Linked DNA regions of Rattus norvegicus. The protein of the gene in region 2 purifies or fractionates together with the protein of the main gene of each other region. This does not show direct contact. Links are inferred from orthologs where the notes say so. Each region holds a gene or a part of one and is shown on either strand. Other genes may lie near its edges. The genes, in order: Sdhaf1, Hscb, Iscu and Sdhb.

Region 1 (5,068 bases), on a different chromosome or scaffold from region 2:
TCCTAATGATGTCTTTGTTTCTGCCCTCCCACCCCACCCACCCATTTTGTCTTTGTCCATTCCCTAGTGGCTAGAGTGTCTATCAATTTATAGTCAACAGGATAGCTCTCCCTTTAAACTTCCATACTTAAGAGTCCCCAGGAGGGCTCAACTGGTTTAGGCCGTGTGTTCTGCCTTCAGGAGGGGCCAGTCAGGTCTGCTGGAATCATGGGGGCTAACCATGGGGAAGGGAGTGTGTCTTCAAAGTAGATGGAATGGCTACTGGAAATGCAAAATCGGGTACTGAAGAGGCCTGGGGAACAGTAGCTTCTAGGAAAGCCCACATTAAGATAATGCAAACCAGTAGCTAAGGGGTATATCAGGGAATCTGTCATCATGGTCTGTCTTCCTAAATACATCTATCTCTACCTACCCACTTATCTACCTACCTACATATCTGTGTGCACACAGGCAGATGGACATAGATTGCCATAGTTCTTTCTCATCTCCTGTGTGTTCCCTGGGATTTAAACTCAGCTAGTCAGGCCTGTCACCAAGCTCCCTTTTCCACTGAACCTTCTCTCTGGCCCCCTTTCCTTCCTTTTAGAGACAAGGTTGCTCTATGTAGCTCAGGCCCTTGGGGCCAGGAGATGAGACAGGAGACTGGGATATGTCAAGGGTACAGGTTGGGTAGGACTTCAGTAGTCACTTTCAGACCTGGAGTTGAGATGGCACCAAGATCAACAGGGTCACCTTGGGGTTGGAAGAGAATCCCAGTGGTTATCTCACTTGCTCAGCAAGCACAAGGCCATAAACAGAGCAAACACAGATTAGCATGTGTTGTGGTAGAATGAGCCTGTAATCTGGAGGTGAACGGAGGAGTTGCAAGCCATTATCCCTTACATGACCAGATTGAGGCCGGCCTGGGTTAAGTGAGTCCATGTCTTAAAAACAACAAAAACTACCCAACCAAGATCACCTTGCTAAATAAAACCGAAGCTGAGAGATGAGCAGAGAGCTAACATCCTATGGCAGGAGGGTGGGAGTGATGTAACAAAGTGAGATAAAAGCCATATGAAAACAGTGTCACAGGCTCTTTATGTCACACACCAAGCCTCAGCTGGGGTTCCATTTTCCTCCCTTTTGTTCCCGCCTGCCTCTCCAACCTTGGCATGGCAGTACGTGCCAATAATCTTGGAGTTCAGAGGCTGAGGCAGAAGGAGCTGACGCTGAGAGCAGCCGAGGTTATATTCTAACAAGACCCTGTCTCAAAAGAAAAAGCAAAGGCCCCTAATGAAAGAATCAACAAGATTATTAAGACAACAAGGAAGAAAGCACACCTCACATTTATTCCCTTTATACAAGAATCCTGAGGAAGACTGACAAGAATAGGGGCTAGGGATTCTCCAGAAGTCTCAGGCTCATCAGCTGGGGTGAGTTACTGTAACCTCCCTTACAATCCTGGTTCTTCACAACAAGTCGGGCAGTGGTTTTCCAAACCGGACCGCGAAGCTTCTCATGGTTCATCAGGGTGTTCCATTAAACATGCACGGCAAAAAGGCCGTTTTCTCGGCATTAAAAACAGCAAAAGGCAGGGAGTGGGGAGGTGTATGTGTTCTTAGAAGTCAAGAGAGGTGTCACGCCCCGAGGGGAGGAGAACGTGAGTCTGTGCTCTCTTTGACTTTGGGTTGGTGAATCCCAGCATACATTGTTCAGCCAGCCGGTGCCACCGGATGCCCGGAACCTCCTTGGTGAGGGAGTGTCTGACCTCTCACCATGCATCGAGAAAATTCCGTTGTCTCTTAAGACATCTCAGCTTCCATTTGGATGAGTTCCCGATCTTCCTCCCAAACTGTCAAAAGGAACCTTTCTCTGGGTCTGTCACCGTCCATCGGATCGCGTTTCCCGTGCTCCCGTGCCTTCACAAGGATTCTTTAGGGCATCACTATCGTCCAGCCTGTTCCCCGGGGCTGTCGCGTCGACGGGTTCTTCAGTAGGGCCCCGCGGGCGCACGAAAGTACCCATGGCCGTGGCGTGGCCGGAACGCAGCAGCTGTAGCTGGCGCCGTCCCCGGCGATACAGATACTCGATACGCAGCACGTCGGAGCGCGGAAGGCTGGCGTGCTGCCGGAACTCGGCCCGCACCCGTGCCTCGGCGCCCGGCTTCCCGCGCCCGGCGCGCAGCAGTTCGCGGTACAGGCTCAGAACTTGCCTCTGCAGCCGGCTAAGCCGGCTCATGACCGCTGCGTCGCGGTCAGTCGCCCGGACCCTACCGGAAGGACCGCCCCGACAGACAGTGCTGAGAAGCTAACGGGCAGGGCCACAGTCACGTCCGCCAGAAGTCCCGCCTCCTGCTAACCGGTGCCGCCGCATCCGATTGGCTAGTACTGCAGTACGTCGTGGCGGCCCTGGAAGTGGACCGGGTCTCTAGTGCTCCGGTTCACCCTAAAGGGTAGTCTTTGAGTGGCCTACAGTCCTGGTTGTTTCTGAACTTGAGTTGAAGCAGGGGGCAGAGCCTAAGCGGTTAGATGTTAGAAGAGAATAGGAGGAGATAGTTCTGAGTCCTGGGAGGACTGGGAGCGAAGAGTTCGAATCCGGGAATAACCAGGGGGCATAGGGATATTGGGAAGAGACAAGCAGTTTTTAAAAAGATTTTTACTGTTTGGGGGGCTGGAAAGTGCATAAACTGACGACATGACCACTCCATGGTATGGTTAAGGGAAAGCTGTTTGTTGAATTGTTTGTTGTAGATATGAGAGAGAGGACAGCCAGAGACATCTAGAAGAGTCCAGAATAGACAGAGGAAGTAGATTGGACATAGCCAGAGCTGTCTGTGAGAGAGGAGAAAATAGTGTTGGGGTTCAGGATTAACCACACAAATCACTGGGTGACACCAGTGTCAGTAGGGTATCGAGACGGTTTATTGAGCACACATTCCAAGACTGATTAATCAGGCATGCAGACCTCAGGCAGTTCTCAGGGCCAGTTTTTATATGGGGGAAACCCCTGAACAGATGCATTTGGCTCTCTTGACAGAGCAGCACTGTCTGACCTTTAAGCTCATTGGCTGGGTCTAGAGGCAGGAAGGCTAGGAAATCCCCAGAGGTCTCCAGGGAGGCTCTAACCGACAACATGATGTTATGGTCAGGGAACATTAGGTCAGGTTAAGGTCATGAGCCACAAAATGAAGGTTGAGGCAATATGGCAGAACCGTTGTCAGGTTTAACCCTTAACAAATAGCAGGAGATAAGGCTGCAGGCTCTTTGTTTTATTGACAGGCCCCACATGTAGCTATACATCCCTTCTAGAGGTGAGGGAAAGGATGCCAAGTTTCTCAAGTTCCTGAGCTGTGCTGGCTTTGTTTCACCACCAGAAATCCTCCTGCAGTCCAGGGTGAGCTCATTTCTGGATATTTGGACTGCCCTTTGGAATTGGGGGAATTGGAGTTTCCCTTGGAGCTGACAGAAAGTTCAGCTTTTTTCTTTTTTTTTTTTTTCTTTTTTTCTTTTTTTCGGAGCTGGGGACCGAACCCAGGGCCTTATGCTTGCTAGGCAAGCGCTCTACCACTGAGCTAAATCCCCAACCCCCGAAAGTTCAGCTTTTAAATGTAGCCAGTCTCTGTTACTTTGTGGGTTTTTCTTTTTCTTTCTTTTTTTTTTTTTTTTTTTTTTTTGGTTCTTTTTTTTGGAGCTGGGGACGGAACCCCGGGCCTTGCGCTTCCTAGGTAAGCGCTCTACCACTGAGCTAAATCCCCAGCCCCATGGGTTTTTCTTTATCCCACCCTTTATCCCTGCCCTCCATTCTACCCCCTTCACTAAATAGAAGAGAAAGAAGGGGAGAGGAGAGGGAATGGGGAGAGAGAGGGGGAGAGAGAGAGAGAGAGAGAGAGAGAGAGAGAGAGAGAAGGACAGAGAGAGAGAGAGATGGAGTTACAGCTTGTAGTGAGCCAACATGGTATGGGTGCTTGGAATGAACCCAGGTCCTCTGGAAGAGCAGTCAGTGCTCTCAACCACTCAGCCCTCTCTCCAGCATGTATGTATGTGAACACATTGGACAGGCCAGAGGAGAGGGTCAGAGCCCATGAAGTCTACAGGCTTCACCCATTGTGAATCTAATGGGTGCTGAGTGTAGGAGAAACAAGGCAGCGGTGGACCGACTCCATTTCAGTAGGCTGCGATAGCTTCATTGAAACATTTCTGTGGGATGAAGGTTGGGTGCATTTAATGGCGATGGGGGACATGTTTATGTGCACACACATATATAGGTAGCCACGAGGAACTTACAGGGATCTTTTGTAATTTGGCTGAGAGCAGAGTGGGTTGTTTTTCAATACCCAGGCATATTGTTTCTGCAGTTGGAACAGAAGACTGGGGCTGAGCCATCTTTTATGGCTAAAGGCTGTGTCAGGAGCCCTTTGCCTGCTTCTCTGAAGCAAAGAGAGGTGGAGTGGGGAGGGAGGGGAAGAAGAAGAGGAGGAGGAGGAGGAGGAAGAGAGGAAGGGAGAAGATCGAGGGAAGGAGGGAGGGAGGGAGGGAGAGAAAGAGAAGTCGGCCTGCCAAGCAGAGTCAGGGTGGGTCAGGGTCTGTTGGCAGATTTCCTGGCCTGCTGAGGTATGGGATGATAAGAGGACGTACACTTGGAGCTCAAGGCTCAGGGCTGAAGATTCTGTTGACCTTGGTGGAAGGAACATGGAGGCCTTTGGATGGGAACAGATGTCCTGTGTATATTTCAGCAGTTGTTTCTATTAGCTTGTGGCTTTGCTTCCCACAGTACTGCGAGGTATAAAAAGGCTATAAAAAAGAAACTGGAGGCTGCTGCAGTATCGGCTGGCAGTCCTCCCAAATCTATCTCTTGTCTTTGCATCCTCTTTCTCTCTCTCCCAGACTCGTCCTCACTCCCCACACAGACTGTTCGACTTCCGTTGGGGCCAGCGCAGGGCTATTGCCCCACACAGCCTGATTCAATTCTAATGACCTGAGACTATTATTACCCAATACTGAGACTTGAACTCAGGTCCTCTGGAAGGACAGCAAGTCCTCCTAACTGCTGAGCCATCTCTCCAGTTTCCTCCCTTTGTGAAAGGTGCAGG
Region 2 (6,548 bases):
AGCCGGGCGCTGGGTGGTCACGCCTCTCCTCAGGCGTTAAATGTTTATAAACATTCTCCTCAGTTCTAAAATGGTCTAGGTGTTCCTGCAAAAGAGGCTCTACACGTACTCTTTATCATCAGATTTATAGAAAAGAGTTAAAGCACTGCAAACGGGGGGTGGGGGTGAGGGTGGGCGGTGGGGTTAGGATATGTAAAAGGAACCAGGCCGGGTGGTACACGGCTGCATCACACGTTACTCAGCAGGCCAAGGCAGGAAGATCACATGTTAAGTCCAGCCGGGGCAGCTGAGCGAGACCGGTTCAAAAGGTAACAAGGCAGCTGGGGATATACTACAGTGGATTCAAAACCTGGTACCATCAAAGCAAACAAACAAACAAGCAAGCAAACAAAAGAAAACCCAGTATTGGTCATGCAGGGCCAAGGCACAGTTCAGAGCACTTCCTTAGCCCGAGGCACTAGGTTCAATACCCAGCACTGAAGGAGAAAAAAAAAAAAAAAGACTAGAAAGGAGCTGGATGTGGGTGCGGTGAAGCAAGAGAATTAATAAGTTGGAGCCAGCCTGGGCTACAACGGTGAGATTTCTTCTAAAGGAAACACACAAAAGATGGATGTACAAAGAATGCTAAGAAAATTATATTGTATAAAACCTTTTCCTTTCTTTCCTCTCCTGTAGTATTTTTGAGGTAAGTATCATTAGCTTCCTGGACTAGGCCAGGTCTCATACAGAGGAGTCCCAGACAGATGGGTTGAGAAATCACCTTACAAGATATAGTCCTCTGCTCACGGGGGCCTGAAGAGTCTTGTAGGCATCATTCACCAGGGTCGAATGCTTCTCCGAGAACCGTTTCTCAGTCTGCTCATAGAGGTAAAAACAGTTTTATTATCACCAGAGCCAGTCAGGCTGGTGTGTTTTTGTTATCTGGGAAGCCAGATAAAAGCCGGGAGGAAATGACATCTTTGGGGCCTGCCTGTCTAGGGGCAGGCTGCCACAGGGTGGAGCTAGCAGTCCAACTCTTTTCCAGAGTAACGGAGCGACCCACCCAGTTGTGCACATACATGGGGGATAGTATGCAGGCGCGCATGTGTGTGTGTGTGTGTGTGTGTGTGTGTGTAAATACCTGAGACTTTTGGCTGAAGAAATCTGGGTGGACAAGGCGCTGTAGTTGCTGGTACCTTTGTTGAAGTTTCCGGATGTCAACCCTGAAGGATTGGTTGCTGGAAGGAAACCAGATGTTATTCATGTAACAAAAGAGTAGTTTCACCAGCTATTTACTAGGGGCTGGTCTTGCTCTTGGGGAGGGTATAACAAGCACATAAACGAAGGCTGCTTTTAAGACGAGGTAGCTGTAATGAAGGGAAACGGAACAGGCTCGGGAGAGGTCGTACAGGTATGACATCTGAGAGGAACCGGATGAGCAAAGATCAGAAAGGGACATTAAGGGAGACACTGAACTGACTGGAAGGTCGGACAGCTTGACACATTAAGGGATAAGGTCGGTGTAATGCATGGTAAGCTCTCAGAGGGTCGGTCTCTGGCATGTTGGGCAAAGACTTTAGCACCAAGCCACTCCCTTCACTCTTCCTGACTACCAGACCTCTTTTTACTTAAAAAAAAAAAAAGACTTATTTATTTATTATATATTAGTACACTGTAGCTGTCTTTGAATACACCAGAAGAGGGAATCAGATCCCATTACAAACGGTTGTGAGCCACCATGTGGTTGCTGGGAATTGAACTCAGTGCCCTTAACTGCTGAGTCATCTCTCTACCTCTAAGACAGATTTTTTTTAACTAAGGTACCCAAGTTGACTTGGAAATCACTCTCTGTATATCCCAGGCATGCCCAGATTTGCAATAAATCTAATTTAGCCTTCTTTTAGGTGGGATTACAGGTCTGTCACCGGGTCTGGTCTAGAGTGTGTGTGTGTGTGAGAGAGAGAGCGAGAGCGAGAGCGAGAGCGAGAGCGAGAGAGAGAGAGAGAGAGAGAGAGAATCAAGATCTTGTGGATTTCTTTTTTTTTTTTTTTTTTTTTTTTGGTTCTTTTTTTCGGAGCTGGGGACCGAACCCAGGGCCTTGCGCTTCCTAGGTAAGCGCTCTACCACTGAGCTAAATCCCCAGCCCCGATCTTGTGGATTTCAAGCTGCTATGTAGCCAAGTTTACCAGCTTAACTTAAAAAAAAAACCCAAAAAACAACAACAACAAAAAAAACCTAGGTGTTGCTCAATTGCCCAGGGTTGAAATTTTTGATACTCCTTTTTCAGCTTCCTGAGTAGTTGGACTTATAGGTAGAGACTACTACACAGGCCATTAATACCTAGAAGCACGTCTTTTATTTTTTGGTCTTTTTTTTAAAGATTAATTTTTTTTTATTATATAAGTACAATGTTGCTGTCTTCAGACACAGTAGAAGAGGGCATCAGATCCCATTAAAGATGGTTGTGAGCCACAATGTGATTGCTGGGAATTGAACTCATGATCTCTGGAAGAGCTGTCAGTGCTCTTAACCACTGAGCCATCTCTCCAGCCCCTTTTTTGGTCTTTTTAAAGCATAGTATTGGGATTTGAACCCAGGCCTTGGCTAATGCAAGGAAGGTTTTTATCACCAAGATAAAGTGAGGATTCTGCACTTCTTTCTTCTCAGGGAGTGATTCAGACTGACTCTGTGTAGTCTGCAGCTGGGTAGCCCAGATTGCAGGATGAAACCTGAACTCCATATTTTCTTGTTTTTGTCTGGAGGTTGGAATTGCAGGTGTGTACAACCACAGCTGGCCCTCCCATTTTACTTAAATCTGCTCATACTTCTCATATTTCTGTACCTCTCCAATCTTTCCCAGGTGGGAGTGGGTGTGGGGGAGGCAGGGATGGAGCAACGGCTCAGTGGTTAAGAGAATTGACTACCTTTCCAGAGGTCCTGAGATCAATTCCCCGCAACCACATGGTAGCTCACAAACATCTGTAATGGGATCTGATGCCCTCTTCTGGTGTGTCTTAAGACAGCAACAGTGCACTCATATACATAAATCAAAAAAAAAAAAAAAGAGGGGGTGGGGTGGGGCAGGTAAAGTACACTAAACACTTCTTGGTCTCCCTCAAATCTTCAGCCTGAATTAAATTTTCGTTTCTTGAGACAGGGTCTCACTGCTTAGCCTATGTTTGGCTCCCATGTGTGACCCTTCTCCTTTAGCCCCTGAATACTGGGATTCCGGATATAGGCTATTACACTTGGTTTGCTTTGTTCTTAACTGCACTTGGTTTTTGAGACCAAGTCTCATGCAGCCCAGAGTCTCATCAAACTTGTCTTATATAGCTCAGGTTGCCCTCAAATCCTTTTGAGTGCTGGACCCACAGGCATAATACCAACACACCTGGCTTGTTTTGTTTTTGCATTTTCCGTTAAATAAATAATTTATTTGAGATGTTCCCTATTTTTGTGGTTGGCCTCCAACTGGGGAATCCTGCCATAGTCTAGCATGCTTTTAAACCCTGCATTGGTGAGTCGGAGGGGGGCGGGTGACGAGTTCAGGGTGACGCTACGTTTTAATAAACCCTCCCCTTTTCTGCTCCCTTGAGTTTAGCCAATGTATTTCCCTTTTCCAGAAATCCCACCCCTCAAAACTCCCTAAAATGTAAACTCGTCCGTTTCCGTTTTTTGAAGTTTAAAAACAAGGCCCTTGTAGCAGAGGCTAGTCTTGGATTCCTGAACCTGTGTCTTCCACTTCTCAAGTGCTTAGATCACAGGCATACCTATGACCTATATACTTATCTAGCCTTTTAGTTGAATCAGTCTCCGCAAATTGTCTAAGCTAGACTTGAACTGTGGTCCTTCTGCCTCAGTTCCCACGAGCTGGCTGGAAATTACAGGCCCGCAGACGCCGCCCCAAGCCTTGATCTCTAGGGTTACGAAGCCTGAGCCGCCCTCCAGTCACACCGCGCCGCCTGTACCAGTTCATGAGGCTGAAGTAGTCCCGAGTGGGGTCAGGAGGCTGCAGCGCGCGGCAGTGTGCGCAGAAAAACTCATCCCCACGCCCGGCTCCCATCGCGCGGCCGCAGTTCCAGCATTGCGGCTCGATGCTCTTTCCCGAGGCGGCATTGCTGCTCAGCAGGCTCCTACCAAGGAACCTAGCCAGTCGCACCTCCCACACGCACAGCAGGGACCGAGCCCTGCAGCTCCACATTCGTAAGGCCGCCTGCTGGCCCGGGTTACCAGACCGGAGAAAAGGGAAGAAAGTGGCTCGCTGCTGATTGGCTAGGGAGCCGAGGAGGCGGGACCAGCTGCGGGAAACCAAGACGCCGAGTCCCGTTTTGGAAGCTAAACTACAACTCCCAGAAAACCTAGAGGCTGTGCGGGGGAAGCCACCTTTGGGCTTTCTTATTGGTCCTGCCGAGGAGGAAGGCCTTTTGATTGGCTGAGGGTGGAGTTTGTATCGGTAGGTTTAGCGCCACACCACTGGCTGCGGCTCTGGAGTGTTTGTAGCTCTTGGTGGTCTTGGGCGGTGAGTCATAACTGGGGAACTTTCTGTTTGAGTGTTTGAGGATTCGAATACCGTTCTCCGGTTATTTGTGCAAATGGGCCCTCCGCAGCTTCCGCTTTGTCTGCTTACTCGTGCGAGCGAGGGGGCGCTGTGCATAGGCAACCCTTTCTTTTTATCTGCCCTTCTGGGGGGAAGTTCACTTTCCTTGTTACTTGCGAGCTGAAACAGGTCTGGACACATAGGAAGGTACAACGCTGGGCTGTTTGGTGCCAGAGCGAAGTAGTTTTCATAACGAACATTATAAATGTTCATGCCAGCCCCTAGATTGCTTTTTCCCAAATACCAACTGAGAACCCAATCTTCGCTGCTAGGCTCTGCAGGAACTGAAGAGGGTACGTCAGCGTACTCAGCATACGTGTGGGGTAGGATGGCAAGGAATGGATAGGAGACAACCAAACAGCATCTGTACATGAAGGAAGATGGTCTAACGCTTTGTAAGTGGCCTCTGTAATTCTATTCATAATCCTGGGATTTTGCTGTGGTCACTTTTTTTTTTTCACCCATCATTGGGCCTGCCTTTCTTTTTAAGGTGGTCATAATGTGCCTGTTCCTTTAAACTTTTATTTAAAAAAAAAAAAAAAATCACGTGTCTGTGTCTAAGTTTGTGCAGTGCACACGGGGGCCAATAGAGGGCACTGTATCCCCCAAGAGCTGGAATTACAGGTGTTTGTGATCCTCTGGTTGTGGGTGCTGGGAATTGTACACTTTTAACTGTCTTCAGTTTGGATGTTTGACGATACGGGAATGGGATCCAGTGCTTTGCATCTGTTGGAGAAAGGCTCCACCATCTACCATTGAGTTATAGCCACATACCTAATTTTTGGGTAAAGATTCACTTTACTTTTAATTATGTTATGTGGGTGGGAATGTATACATGCTCTGGTGCTTGCAGAGGCCGAGATCTACTTCAGATCCACCGGAGTTGGCGTTACAGGCAACCTTGAGCTGCCAGACTAGGTGTAGAGAACTTACTGAACTTGGGTTTTGCAAGAATAGTATATGCTTCTTCCTGCCCAACCAATCTCTCCAGCTTCCGTTCTTTACTCTTGAGTCCTGAGCCTTGTTCCTTATTGTTGGATTCGTGCTCTCAAGGTCGGATATGAAGAGTCATCAGTCCCACGGCAGCACCTCCTCGAAGGCTCATGACAGTGCTTCCTGTTCACAGTCTCAAGGCGGCTTCAGCCAGTCCCAAGGCACCCCCTCTCAGTTGCACGACCTCTCACAGTATCAGGGTGCATCCAGTTCCTCCACCAGCACAGTGCCATCCTCCAGCCAGTCCTCCCACTCCAGCTCTGGGACCCTGAGCTCTTTAGAGACAGTGTCTACTCAGGAACTCTGTTCTATTCCTGAGGACCAAGAACCGGAAGAGCCTGGACCTACTCCTTGGGCTCGGCTATGGGCTCTTCAGGATGGATTCTCGAATCTAGGTAAGGCACTTGGTAATATAATATATAGTGCGTTGTCGAGAGAAACAGTCAGGGAAGGTGATTAGGTTGTTGTAGCAGAAACCTCAGGGCCCCTGTAACTGGCTGTGGTGGAGAGTGTCTCCTCCTGGCTGCCACTTCATACTGAGGATCAGATTTGGGCCTCTCGCATGGTAGAGAGGTTTTAGACTAAGCTATCCCTGGCTCCCTTATCTTTATTTTCAAATAGAATCTTGTTAGATTTCATAGGCTGGCCTCAAATTTTTTTTAAAATTTTCTTCAGAGAAAAAGGTCCCATGTTGTCCTGGGTTAGCCTTGAACTCACTACGTTGCTCAGCCTGGGTAATGAACTCTTGGTCTTCCTGCCTCTACTTCCCAAGTGCTGGGTTTATAGGCACACATTACCAGGCTCTACTCATTGGTGAGACAAGGAATTCTGCAGCCCAGGTAGGCTTGGGACTCACGATGTAGTTCCTTGTGACCTTGAACTTGCATTGATCTTGTCTTAGTTGGGATTACACATGCCAACCACACATGGTTCAAATTTATTCATTTGAATGTGGATTTCCAACTCATCCTGAGCTAGT
Region 3 (5,708 bases), about 3.0 Mb from region 2:
AAAGACGACCAATGGTTGTCATGGTAATGCCAGTTGCTATGAGTAGCAGCAGAGTGAAGGATGCCAGTGTTCATTCATGGCAGCAGCTACAGTAGCAGTCAAGGTCCTGCCCCTGCTTACTCCTGACTGGAGGGGTCGTGACCTTGGAGCCCACATTTCACCTTTATCTTTGTTAAACTCCTAGCACTTAGATTTCTCTCCACAGAGCTCCTAGCTACAATGCCTGGTATGTGACAGACTGAGGTGTCTGACACACAATGATAATTCCCTGAGTGACGGTCATGACAAGTGAGGCCTAATGCGTCACTAGGGTTCAAGGTGAAGCCTCTGACGTTCTCAGAGCCACAGTGATTCCAGGAAGGACAGGGCACAAAAGTAGGCTCAGGGCTGCTCAGCCTGGGCCAGCTGGTGTGCTTAAAGGTGCAGCTCCCTCAGAGGCTGCCAGCAATGGAGAAAAATTTGAGGGACCTCAGAGATCTTTTTGCCTTTTAAAACCAATCATGCGACCCACCCATGATGGCGTATGCTCGTAATGACACACTCAGGAGGCCGAGGCAAGAGTACTTTGATGCAAGAAACGAAAGATACTCCCAGACCCAGATAGCCATTGCATGTAAGAGTTCCAAGACACACATGGAGACTGTGACAAACCCCTTACTAGTTCAGTGAGGAGTACATGGGTCCCAAATTGACCTGATTGCAGAGTAAATTTATAGAAAGTTACAGAAATTGGACTTGTGGGCTGCACCTCACATTCTCGGGGTTGGACCGTGCCAGCAACTTGATGTGTGGAATTCAGAAGTGTCTCATTTTAAAATCAGAAATAGGGGTGGGGAACTGTGGCATTGCCACAAGTAAGGGACTGAGTTACAACACGCCCTTCAGGACAATTTGACATGGATCCACCCAGGGGCTAATTTGAGATTCTGATGGACTCTGGCTGTGGTCTCCTCCCAACTGTGGAGGAAGTGGCCTTTGAAGTTCTGAGCCCTTCACCAGAACCCAGAATATTTTAAAGGATGATTTAAGAGTCAGCCTGTGTATGCCTGGACAAGAAAGCCACCATCAGAAAACAGTTTGCTTTTGAAGTTCGCTGCATCTCCCAATGCCAAGACTGGAAAACTGGGCCCTTCCCTGAGCTACATAACTGGGCAGCTCAGGGGAGGAGCAGCTGCTACCAATGTTGGAGTCAGTGTGTGTATCTGGAACTGAGGGCTACGGCAGTGCATGTACTTGTTTCAGTTGAACGTGAGAAACACACACTCGCACCGGATGAGCTTCTCCAGTCAGCTTCAGTTCACTGTCCACCACACAAAGCCTGGGAGGCCTTGGGAGGTTAGAACCATTTGCCAGAAGAAGGCTGGAGGCCTGGGCCTAGAGTACAACGGTGTAATCTCCCAATGCTTTTCCTGATTGGTCCACAGGCTTAGGGGCCAGCTTCTGGGGTTACTTTCTGACTTTCACGGACCAATGGATTATTGCAGGAACGCTTGCTCAGAGTCCTTGTGAATTGACCATGCTTCCCAGCATAAAGAACACCAGCCGTCCCCTCCAGCCTTTCAAAAGAAGCTAAGTGGCTGTTGCTGTCACCCACTGCAGTCTGGCCTTGGGAACCCTGAGGCGCTTGGCTGCACTAGGGGTGGGTTAGGGAGTCGAGAATCAGGTTCAGTAGAGAAAACCATCGTCTTCCATTTTTTATTATAATATACACGCAGATCTGCTAAACACACAGTGATAGATCCTATCAGAGCCAGCACAAGGTGCTCTGCTGGCCGTCTCCCCGCAGCTTGGGTACAACTCCCTGTCACTCTCCAGAGCTTAAGACTTTGGTGCTGATTTCAGTCCCAGGTCACAAACTCAATCAAGACATCAACTGCACTAAGGACACACGTGAGCTGAAAGGAACACAGGATTAGGCGTAATCAACGGCACATTTTGCTTGTATCAGAGCCATAGTGCAAACAGTGAGTAGTGTGCGTTTTGCGTAGCTTCTCTGATGTGCAGGGTGGCAGGAGGCCTGCTGTGAGCGGCTGGAGCGTCCTCAGGGCTCACTGCTTCTCCGGCTCGTCCTTCTTGGCCTCTTGTTTCAGTTTGTAATCAGCCAGGGCAGCCTTGATGGCATCTTCTGCCAGCACTGGAAGGCACGGAAAGGTAGACAGCTTTAATTTCTAGACACTGGAGGGGTGGTCTCCACATTTTATAGTTATACACACATCATGGCATATTTGTGTGTTGTTATAAATATGTATCTATTTAGAATATATATGCATGCGCCTGTACATGTATGTGATGGGTGGATGTGCCTGGCACGTGTGGTGGTCACAGGACAACTTTGGGGGGTGGGTTTAGAAGTTCTAACTCAGGTTGGGTGGCCATCTCCCTGCTGGGAGGTGGTGAAGGAAGAGAAGCTTTGTAAGCTGGAGGGAACTAGAATCAGAAAGACCCAAGAGTGTGCGCCTGCTACACCGACTGGGACGGTCCTGCCTTCCTGGCTGGGACAGAGGGGGCACTGTGGACAGAGATCAGGTCCCAGGGAGTGTGGGCTGGCCGTCAAAGGTGATGGCTGAGCTCAGTCGTAAACCAAGAATGGCCGCTGGCAGTCTGTCTGTCTGTTCACCTCCTCCCACACCCACCCGTGAAGGTCAGTACTGAGGGTGAGGTTACAGGGTGGGGTGTGGGTGAGAAGCTGGAAGGTGGCAGAAAGCCTAGTATGTTAGGGTGATGTTGCGTTCCTGCTTTCTTGGGGAGGCTTAAGAGGACAGGAAGGTGTCAGATCTGACTGCAGGCTCTGAGGTGCAAGGCTTCTTGTGGGACAGTGCAGTGAGTGTACCACGGCCCCAGGCATTGCAGACAGACTGGGGAGGCACAGAGTGTGGGGTGGCGGGCACAGCGCACTCTGAGCAGACCCGAGCTGCCTGTTATGCGGGGCACTCACTGGAGCAATGCAGTTTCACAGGCGGGAGGCAGAGTTCCTTGGCGATGTCTGTGTTTTTGATGGTCAGGGCTTCCTCCACCTGAAATGTTAGGGAGGAAAGTGCAGTTTCAGTGAACTTGACCTTGCTGAGGGTGGGCAGAACACACCTCAGGACAGGCTGTCTGGGAAAACTCCTGCTAAGTAACTCAACACTGTTGGGCAGGACTGCCACTGTATACCAAGGGATCTGTAGTGGGGGGACACACACCTGCGCTGCCTGGCTGGGTAAGCAAGAACAAGACCTGCTGCCCCTTGAAGGCAGGCATTGCCTAGGCTGCTATGCAATGTCTGCCTGAGGAGGCCTGGGTCTGAGAGCTGTGAGGGATGAGAGGCAGAGAGGCCTGCTTATGCATTAAGAAAAGCCAGTCTCGGGGTTGGGGATTTAGCTCAGTGGTAGAGCGCTTGCCTAGCAAACGCAAGTAAGCTGGCAAGCTTTGTAAGCTGGAGGGAACTAGAATCAGAAAGACCCAAGAGTGTGCGCCTGCTACACCGACTGGGACGGTCCTGCCTTCCTGGCTGGGACAGAGGGGGCACTGTGGACAGAGATCAGGTCCCAGGGAGTGTGGGCTGGCCGTCAAAGGTGATGGCTGAGCTCAGTCGTAAACCAAGAATGGCCGCTGGCAGTCTGTCTGTCTGTTCACCTCCTCCCACACCCACCCGTGAAGGTCAGTACTGAGGGTTCGGTCCCCAGCTCCGAAAAAAAGAAAAAGGGAAAAAAAAAAAAAAAAAAAAAAAAAAAAGAAAAAAAAAAAAAGAAAAGCTAGTCTCCTTCAGACGGGAACCTCGAGGTTAGAGAAGGTCTTCCTACTGTCTGACCATACAGTTCAGAGCCCTGAAAGGCCAGGTCCTGGGAGCAGGTGCCCAATCTCACTTCCCCTTTCTCCAAAGCTGCTTCTTAACCAACTTCCTTTGAGCCATTTTCTCCCAGAACAAGCAGGTCTGGGTCTCCCTGGCCTCCAGGAGTTCAATAACCAGATGCCCGAATCTGGAGGAGCAGGTGGCTGTTAGAGAGCTGGCTGGCGTTTTGAGCACAGCAATCCATGACTGAGCTTCCTGAACTGGGCCCCAGGAGGGGGCAAAGGGTGAGCACACCACTTTAAGACAGGGTCCCATACAGTCTGGGGCGATCTTTAAATTGCTCCTTCCTGAGCTTCCAGGGACTAAGCCACTATCCAAAGACTATACATAGACTGACCCTGGACTCTGACCTCATAGGTAGCAATGAACAGCCTAGTAAGAGCACCAGTGGAAGGGGAAGCCCTTGGTCCTGCCAAGACTGAACCCCCAGTGAACGTGATTGTTGGGGGGAGGGTGGTAATGGGGAGGGGAAGCCCATATAGAAGGGAAGGGGGAGGGGTTAGGGGGATGTTGGCCTGGAAACCGGGAAGGGGAAAAACAATTGAAATGTAAATAAGAAATACTCAAGTTAATAAAGATAAAAAAAAAAAAAATTGCCCCTTCCTTCTATGAGCTGGGATTACAGGTTGGTGTGCCGTGTGCCACCACCTTGTGCTGGTGTGGGTAGTTTCACAGCTACTGGGTCTTTTTTTTTTTTCTTTAAATGCTCCTTAGCTTCTTTTTAAAAAACATTTATTTATTTTATGTATATGAGTACACTGTTGCTGTCTTCACACACCAGGAGAGGGCATCAGATCTCATTACAGATGGTTGTGAGCCACCATGTGGTTGCTGGGAATTGAACTCAGAACCTCTGGAAGAGCAGTCAGTGCTCTTAACCACTGAGCCATCTCTCCAGCCCCAGATTTTGAATTCCAACTCCTCCCTCCGACAAAGTTGTTTTTGCAATCTGTGCATGTCTTTCTGGACTCCTCCTTGAAGGAGGAGATGGGATGAAACAAACAGTAAATGCTGCTCAGGAGCTCTTAGGGGACCTTGGTGACCTTAGGGACATCAGGGAAAGCCCAAAACCATCTTTCAGTTCTACTGCTGGGAGGCCTGGTGGCGATTCTCATCTACTGAACTGGCAACCAGTGACAACAGTGACTAACACACTGCCTCAAGCAACAAGATGGTCTTAAACTTCCAGAGTAAGGAATGTAATCAGTGCTCGGGTAGGAAGAGAAATTAAACCTTAGAAAAATGGGCTCCCCCCCCCCTTTCTCTCTCTCTCCCTCCCTCCCTCCCTCTCTGAGCAGCCTTACCGTTTTCCCCTTTACCCACTCCGTGGCTAAGGAGCTGGAGGCAATGGCGGAGCCGCAGCCAAATGTTTTAAATCTGGCATCCACAATCTTCCCCTTTTCATCCACCTGGATCTAGAAAAGAGACGGGAGCTGAGAGGCCACAGCTTGACACCTGGAATCCGGGAGCCGGGAACTTCCAGAGGTGAGTGTTCCACACGAGCCCTGGTTTGCTATGACTCCACATGCCATGACATTCATCACTGTGTTTTGCTTCAAAGGACTTGGCGACAGAAAGTGAAACTTGGGGTCCACACAGGCTCAGCTGGGAGAGGGGCAAGGAACAGTGCCCCTCACCCCGCTTGGTTGTTTTCGGCCCTTGCCTGCTGTATGTGAGTGCCTATTTTGCAGGGGTCTGTTTATAGATGTCCCCCCATCAGCACCTCAGGCACTGACAGAGTCTGTAACCAAGGTCTCCATCAATCCCTTTCTCTTGGGCACCAACTGTAATTAACAGCTCTTTTCTGCCTGCCATTAAGGAGGCTGAGGCTGAGCTAAAACTCCAGCTGACCTAGGCCCAGCCCACCACCTTCCAC
Region 4 (6,345 bases), on a different chromosome or scaffold from region 2:
TTTAGATCACATATATCTGTAATAGTATTGAGATTCTTCCTGGATGAAAACATCTTACTATGCAGTTCAGGCTGGCCTTGAACATGCGGCAAATCTCTGATTTCTGCTCCTGAGTACCAAGACAATACTACATACCCAATTATGGCCCCATAGTATGGAAGACCAATTCAGCAGTACCCTCTGAGGGCAGGAAGAGCTCAGTTGACTCCTAGGCCTGCTGAAATGACAGGTTACCTGCAAAGGAGCTTCATCGTCTTTCTCCTATTTAAACATTTGTTTCTATAGAGACATTTGATCAGGCACACTTTTCAAAAGGGACTAGGGTCAGATTGAAATCAATCAAGGATATTTATTTACTTTGAGATGAGGCTCACATAGCCCAGGCTGGCCTCAAATTTATTATGTAGCCAAGAATTACCTTAAACAGCCAATTCTGCATCCACCTTCCATGGCTAGGAATCAGCTAGTCCTGTTGTTTTGAGACAAGGTCTTATATCCAGCCCTGGCTATCCTGGAACTTGCTAGTAGAGCAGACTGGCATCAAACTTACAGAGGTCTGATTACATGGCCTTATGAGTGCTGGAATTAAAGGTGTATACCACCACACCAGCCTATTTTTATTCTCGTGTATGCCGTGTGTGTGTGTGTGTGTGTGTGTGTGTGTGTGTGTGTGTGTGTGTCTGAGTATATGCCATGTGTGCAGGTGCCTGAGGTAGCCAGAAGATGGCACTGGATCTGCCAAAGTTGCAATTACAGCTGGCTGTGAGTGACGGGACATGGGAGCTGGGAACTGAACTCAGCAAGTGTTCTTGAGAGCTGAGCCATCTCTCCAAGCCTAGATTTGTGATTTTCAGAAAGATGGCAGGAATCACAGCATGCTTGTGTACCTTGCATAACCATGAGGGCAGAGAACAGCTATGAATCGGTGAGGGGACAATTAGCAGAGGGCCTTGGTGAACAAATGAGGAAAGACAGGATGGACATCAGGACACGTGGTATGCTGGCCCAAGGAGTCCTGTTAGCCTGCCCTGAACCCTGGTATTAGGAAGGAGAATGAGCAACCTCCTCTTGAGAAACCTGTGTACATTCATGGTCTTTCCCTCTCCCCTAATGTCTGTGCTTAAATCTATATTAAAACTTTTTTTTAAACAAAAATGCATTTGGATTGTGTGCATGGTGTCGGTGGCGAGGATGTGCTCATGTGGAGGGCAGAGGAACACTCTGAAGTAGGTTCCCTCCTTCTGCCTTCATGTGGGTTCTAGGGACAGGGCTCTGGTCATTAGATCTGACCAACACGCCTTTTCAGCCACCAAGCCATCTCCTCGGCTCTCAGAGCTTTTCCTAATAAACCCTTTGCTTTTAAAAAAAGGCCGCTCAGACAGGGAGATGGGCTGTAGTGTGAGACTTCCTTCCTCTCTCTCCCTCCCTGTCCAGCAACTTATATGCCAGGTTCCCCATGGGAGTGGAGACTGTGAACACATCTGGCCCTCGATCTATGACTCCAGTGACTGTGCCACGAAGGAAGAACGTCTCTAGATAATCCTGGAGAAGATGAACTTCCTCTATCTTCCGCAGGGGCAGGCCTGAAGCTAGACATATGACACGGCCACCAGGAAGGAAGGTGGGCAAAGGTAAGAAGGCAAAGCCAACCCTACAGACTCAAGGAAGGGGCAGGCTTGTATCTGAAGTGTGTTAGTGGGATCCAGCCCTGTTACCTTCAAGCTGCGAGTTCTTTAGAGAATCTCTTAACCAGTCTGATCCCACTTCCTCCAGTCTAATCTCACTTCCCCCTTTGCGAAGGGGAGGGTGGTATGGATACCCACTTCACAAGGAGCAGGCCAAACTACTGGCACAGCTCAGGAAATGATCTGTTCCCATGAGTTCACAGCAATCACAGGAGACTTGGAACCAGAACGGAAAGTCCACAGCAAGCTCAGGACGGGGCTTTTTGAGCACAAATATACCTTCCCACAGGGAGGAGGCCTCTCTTACTCTCACTACCCTAGAAAGGTGGGTAAGGGCCTCTCCTGAAATCCTAATGCTGACCTTTGAAACCAGTCTCTTCTTCACTTCGTTCTAGAATGCCCCGCCTGAGCCTGAGAACTCACTCCTTACAGTGAGGCTCTCATAACCTCACTGCTGCCTCTGCAATGTAGAAAGAGGACAGTAAACAAGGTCACCCGGAATTATTAACTGGATAACCTATCAGGAGGCTCCTCCCTCAAGAAAACTGATACACCCCCTTTGTGCGGTCACTGATTGCTGTAGCTTTTAAATTAGGGGTGGGGCCTGGTGAAATTTCTCCCATTCATGCTTGCATGAACTGGTGTCATTAGGATCCCATGTTCTCAGCCCTAAACACTTTATGCATAAGGAACACTAAATGCACTTAAAGAGATTGTGTACGTATATATTTAGCCATGCTAATTAAAGAAGTCATGAGTTTGAAAGGGAGGGAGCATGGGAGGAGAGAGGGGATTGGAAAAAATTTAAATACAGTAGTCATGCATGAAATTCTCAACAACCAAAACAGGATCATTAACTGAATACTTGGGACATCAGCCTGAGGCTCTGGTAGGCACTGTCTGTTTTTGTTGTTGAGACAGGGTCCCAAGTAGCCCAGGTTGGCCTTGCACTCCATATGGGGCTGAGGATGTCCTTACACTCCTGATCTCGCTGCCTCAGCCTCCCGAGTGCTGCTATGATAGGTGTGTATGCAGAGATGCACAGGTCCACACCTTTCATCTCAGCATTTACTCCCATGTGCTGAAGGAGGAGGATCTCTGAGTTCCAGGACAGCCAGGGTTGCATAAAGACACTGTCCAAAAAGCCAAAACCTAAGCAAAACAATAACACTGTCACAGGCTGGAGATTTGTCCTAGCAGTTTGGAAGGAGCAGAGTTCAGTTCTCTGCACTCGCATGGCGGCTGATAACCACCTGTAACTCCAGTTCCAGGAAATACGGCTCCCTCTTCTCCACAGGCACACGCATGGTGCCTATACATAACTCCTACGTACAAATGGAAACATCTAAACAAAACAAAACAAAACAAAAAACAACCCACAAAAGAACCTGCCCACGATCTACAGTTTACAAGAAAGGGGGGGGGGGCGCTCAGGTTTTAAGTCACTAAGAAAGTCTCTCTCGGAGTTCCTGTTGTCCACCTGTGAAGGACTGTCCAGGAGCCCAGAAGAGGACTGAATGGTATTTGTAAATCTTTAAGGAGAGGCAGTTTCTCTCGCCTTTCTAAGTGCTTCCACTGTGTACAGCTCCCGAGGATAGGGCGTGTGGGGAGACCTATGACAGAGCCACTACAGTAGTATTAACAAAAGCAGCTCCAGGCTCTGTCTGTCATCCCATGCCATCCGTATGAGATCAGTGCCGCTACACACCCTTGAATAAACACACTTCAGGGAACCGGGTCTTGCTTGCAAACTTCTACAGTCCGCATCTTTCAGGGGTTGGGTCGTTTTCTTCTATGTCTTCCTTTCCCTGCGGGTCAAGTGCATTGTCCTCCAGAGTTCAGCGGTCTCCGACATTACCGATGCAGAACAGCCTAATCTGGAGTTGCGACCTGGTCTCCCGGGACCCGTCCCAGACAACCCGCAGGCCTCCCTTTTACACAAGGTTGGTCGAGTGCAAATATCAGGATTTGATTCTGGGTTCCAACAACAGGTCGCCCATCATATGACCTTGACCAATTCGCTTGTCCTCCCTGACCTCTGCCTTTCCGTTATCTTTTCCAACCTCCTCCCGGCCGCGACTCTCCAGCTTGGGAGAAGCGCGGGTTGGCTATCTGAAAGGATGCTCAGGGGCAGGGAGCTGGTAAGTCCTCTCCTGAGGCCTGGACCCGGGCTCTTTCCGCTTCTCCGCGGACTCTCCACCCAGGCAGCCTCGGTGACCGGCACGGTTCCCCACTGAACTACGGCTCCGGGGCTCACCTGCAGGCCGACTCTGCCGAGAGCCGTAGCCGAAAAGCCGCGCTTCAAGGAGACCCCGACCACCGCCGCCATTTTGGCTCCTGACGTCAGCCCCACCCCTTACCCTCCGGCATCCCGTCGAACACCGCGGTGGGAAGCCGGCCTCTCCCCTTGAGGTCCGCTAGCAGCCTAAGAGCCAACGAGTGGAAGGCAGCTTCCGGTATCCCGAGTAAACGGACAGGAAGTGCGAGTGTGCCGTAGCGGCCAGTAGGGCGCATGCCCACTGGGCTTCCTATGTTCCTAAGGTGACCTCTGGAGTCGGAGCAGCGGGAAAGAGGGAAGGTAGCCTGGAGGGGTGGGGCAAAGGCCAGGAGGGGCGGGTCTTTCCTAGTTTGCTGAAGGCTGTGATTTTAATCCCTCTCTACTTGCAGTCGTGTCTGTCAATCACCTGTGACTCTTGTCTGATCAGTTTTGTGCTAGAGGACCCGTCAGTCCCTCTCTGAGCGAGACAGTTGGCGAGCGATTGAGGCGGTCACAAAAATGAATGTCAAAGGTGTCGCTCATTCATTTATTCATAAATATGTACGTAAGTTGCATGCCTGGAATCCCAGAAATTGGCATGTGGAGGCAGTAGGAGAATCAAGCTCATCCTTGGCTACTTAGTGAGGTGGAGGCTATCTGGGATACTTGAGGCTCTGTCTTAAAACACACAAAAACAAAACCAAAGCAATCAAAAAGGGCACCTGCTGTGTGGCTGGCGCCAGGCTCTGGGGTGCTGTGGTAAGTGAGTTAATGGCTCACATAATTCCTTTCTAACCTTGAGGAAGATGACAATAGGACAGAGGAGTAATGCAGCTTAGGCTGGACACCAAGGAGACAGAGGCTGTCCACTGTCTTGAACTTCAGATCTTCCCGTAGGTAAAGAACTGCCGAGAGCTGGGATTATAGCTGTGTGTCACCACGCCTGGTAGTACGTGCTGGACAACAAGCACTCTACCAACCCAGCTGTGTCCTCAGATTTTGCTTTGTCAGTTTTCTTAGTCACCTGAGCTGCTTAAAGAAGAAAAAAGGGGTTGGGGATTTAGCTCAGTGGTAGAGCGCTTGCCTAGGAAGCACAAGGCCCTGGGTTTGGTCCCCAGCTCCGAAAAAAAGAACCAAAAAAAAAAAAAAAAAAAAAAAAAGAAAAAAAAAGAAGAAGAAAAAAAGTCTTGTTCATTATATGAATATACTGTAGCTGCCTTCAGACACATCAGAACAGGGCCTGTTATAGATGGTTATGAGACACCATGTTGTTGCTGGGAACTGAACTCAGGACCTCTGGAAGAACAGTCAGTTCTCTTAACCAATGAGCCATCTCTCCAGTCCACCTGAGCTGCTTTTTTCTGGCACTTTTAATGGGTTCTCTCAGAGCCCTTCTGACTGGGGATTTGACCACTTTGGGCAGGTGTGATCTTGCTATCCCAAGTCACTTGATCTCTTGAGGTACCCAGTGACTTTGCTGGTCCCAATTACCAGAGGAATGAGTTTATTACTTTCCGCTCACCTTTGGCAGAGGGAGGGCACTGTTTATAGTCTTGGGTTTCCTCACTCCCATCATTTAGAAGCCACTGGAGAAATTACCATGACAGGAGGAATGGTTAGATGAGGCCAAGTTTCTGAGAACTCACCCTGATTCTGATTTCCCTGCCAGGTGGCCTCATTAAAAAGGGTGTGGGGAGTCCTGAACCCTTGGGGTTACCTAGATTGCTCCCCTCAAGGCCATGTGACCTTTGACAACTCTTTCATCACTTCTGACTTATGGTGTCCTTGCCTGAATCAGTAGGAGTTGTGCCAGCTGATTATGATTAGCATGGTTGTCTTGTGCAACAGATGGCAAGGTTACCTTGGCTTCTTAGGGGGCCTGGCTCAGGGCTGGGATAGTTTCTTCTAGGCTACCCAAGGGACCATTGGGGCCACCCAAGTGGGCCAAGGTTGTAGGAAGACTGTCATTTCTTTGTAACTCCTCCAGGCAGTATTTCTAGAGAACTGGTCTCTTTAGCCATTTTTTTAGCCACCATGTCAAAGGCAGACACCACCCCTACGCGAATGGCCACCCTTTTTTTTCCAGGTCACCTTGGAAAAAGCAGTCAGCAGCCAGCAAAAGTGAGACTTTGATTTACAGAGGGGCTCCTGGTGCCAGTAGGCCCACACACCCTGCCGTCACATCATTCCTGGGCTTCATGGGGATTTGGGAAGCTCAACGTTATGGAAGGATAATAAATTCCTGGGCTGCTCTACCTCCGCCCTAAGCTTTGGGGTGCCAGAAAGGCACAGAGGCCATAGGATTTAAAGGTCTGCATGGCCTCTTCTGGACTTAGATTGCCAAGGTGTCCGTGCCGTGAGACCGCAGGGTTGGGGTTGGTTTGTTGCCATCTGTGTAGACAG

Evidence for each region.
Region 1: the proteins of Hscb (region 2) and Sdhaf1 purify together in Homo sapiens (co-immunoprecipitation; 3 studies listed by BioGRID and IntAct, with this or other methods). This does not show direct contact. The link is inferred for Rattus norvegicus from reciprocal best matches to the Homo sapiens genes HSCB and SDHAF1.
Region 3: the proteins of Hscb (region 2) and Iscu purify together in Homo sapiens (affinity purification with western blotting; 3 studies listed by BioGRID and IntAct, with this or other methods). This does not show direct contact. The link is inferred for Rattus norvegicus from reciprocal best matches to the Homo sapiens genes HSCB and ISCU.
Region 4: the proteins of Hscb (region 2) and Sdhb purify together in Homo sapiens (co-immunoprecipitation; 3 studies listed by BioGRID and IntAct, with this or other methods). This does not show direct contact. The link is inferred for Rattus norvegicus from reciprocal best matches to the Homo sapiens genes HSCB and SDHB.

Annotation. Positions count from the first base shown.
Region 1 is NC_086019.1:94,702,369-94,707,436, forward strand, and holds Sdhaf1 (succinate dehydrogenase assembly factor 1, mitochondrial), read right to left. Parts: upstream 2,244-5,068; 5' UTR 2,218-2,243; coding exon 1,861-2,217; 3' UTR 1,294-1,860; downstream 1-1,293.
Region 2 is NC_086030.1:51,479,003-51,485,550, reverse strand, and holds the start of Hscb (iron-sulfur cluster co-chaperone protein HscB precursor), read right to left. Parts: upstream 4,209-6,548; 5' UTR 4,181-4,208; coding exon 3,948-4,180; intron 1,218-3,947; coding exon 1,121-1,217; intron 856-1,120; coding exon 766-855; coding exon of another isoform or gene 761-765; intron 1-760. Other genes in the region: Chek2 (serine/threonine-protein kinase Chk2), read left to right, coding at 5,637-5,964.
Region 3 is NC_086030.1:48,511,183-48,516,890, forward strand, and holds the end of Iscu (iron-sulfur cluster assembly enzyme ISCU), read right to left. Parts: intron 5,248-5,708; coding exon 5,137-5,247; intron 3,015-5,136; coding exon 2,936-3,014; intron 2,135-2,935; coding exon 2,049-2,134; 3' UTR 1,670-2,048; downstream 1-1,669.
Region 4 is NC_086023.1:158,545,623-158,551,967, reverse strand, and holds the start of Sdhb (succinate dehydrogenase [ubiquinone] iron-sulfur subunit, mitochondrial precursor), read right to left. Parts: upstream 4,035-6,345; 5' UTR 4,015-4,034; coding exon 3,943-4,014; intron 1-3,942. UniProt on the Homo sapiens protein: Iron-sulfur protein (IP) subunit of the succinate dehydrogenase complex (mitochondrial respiratory chain complex II), responsible for transferring electrons from succinate to ubiquinone (coenzyme Q).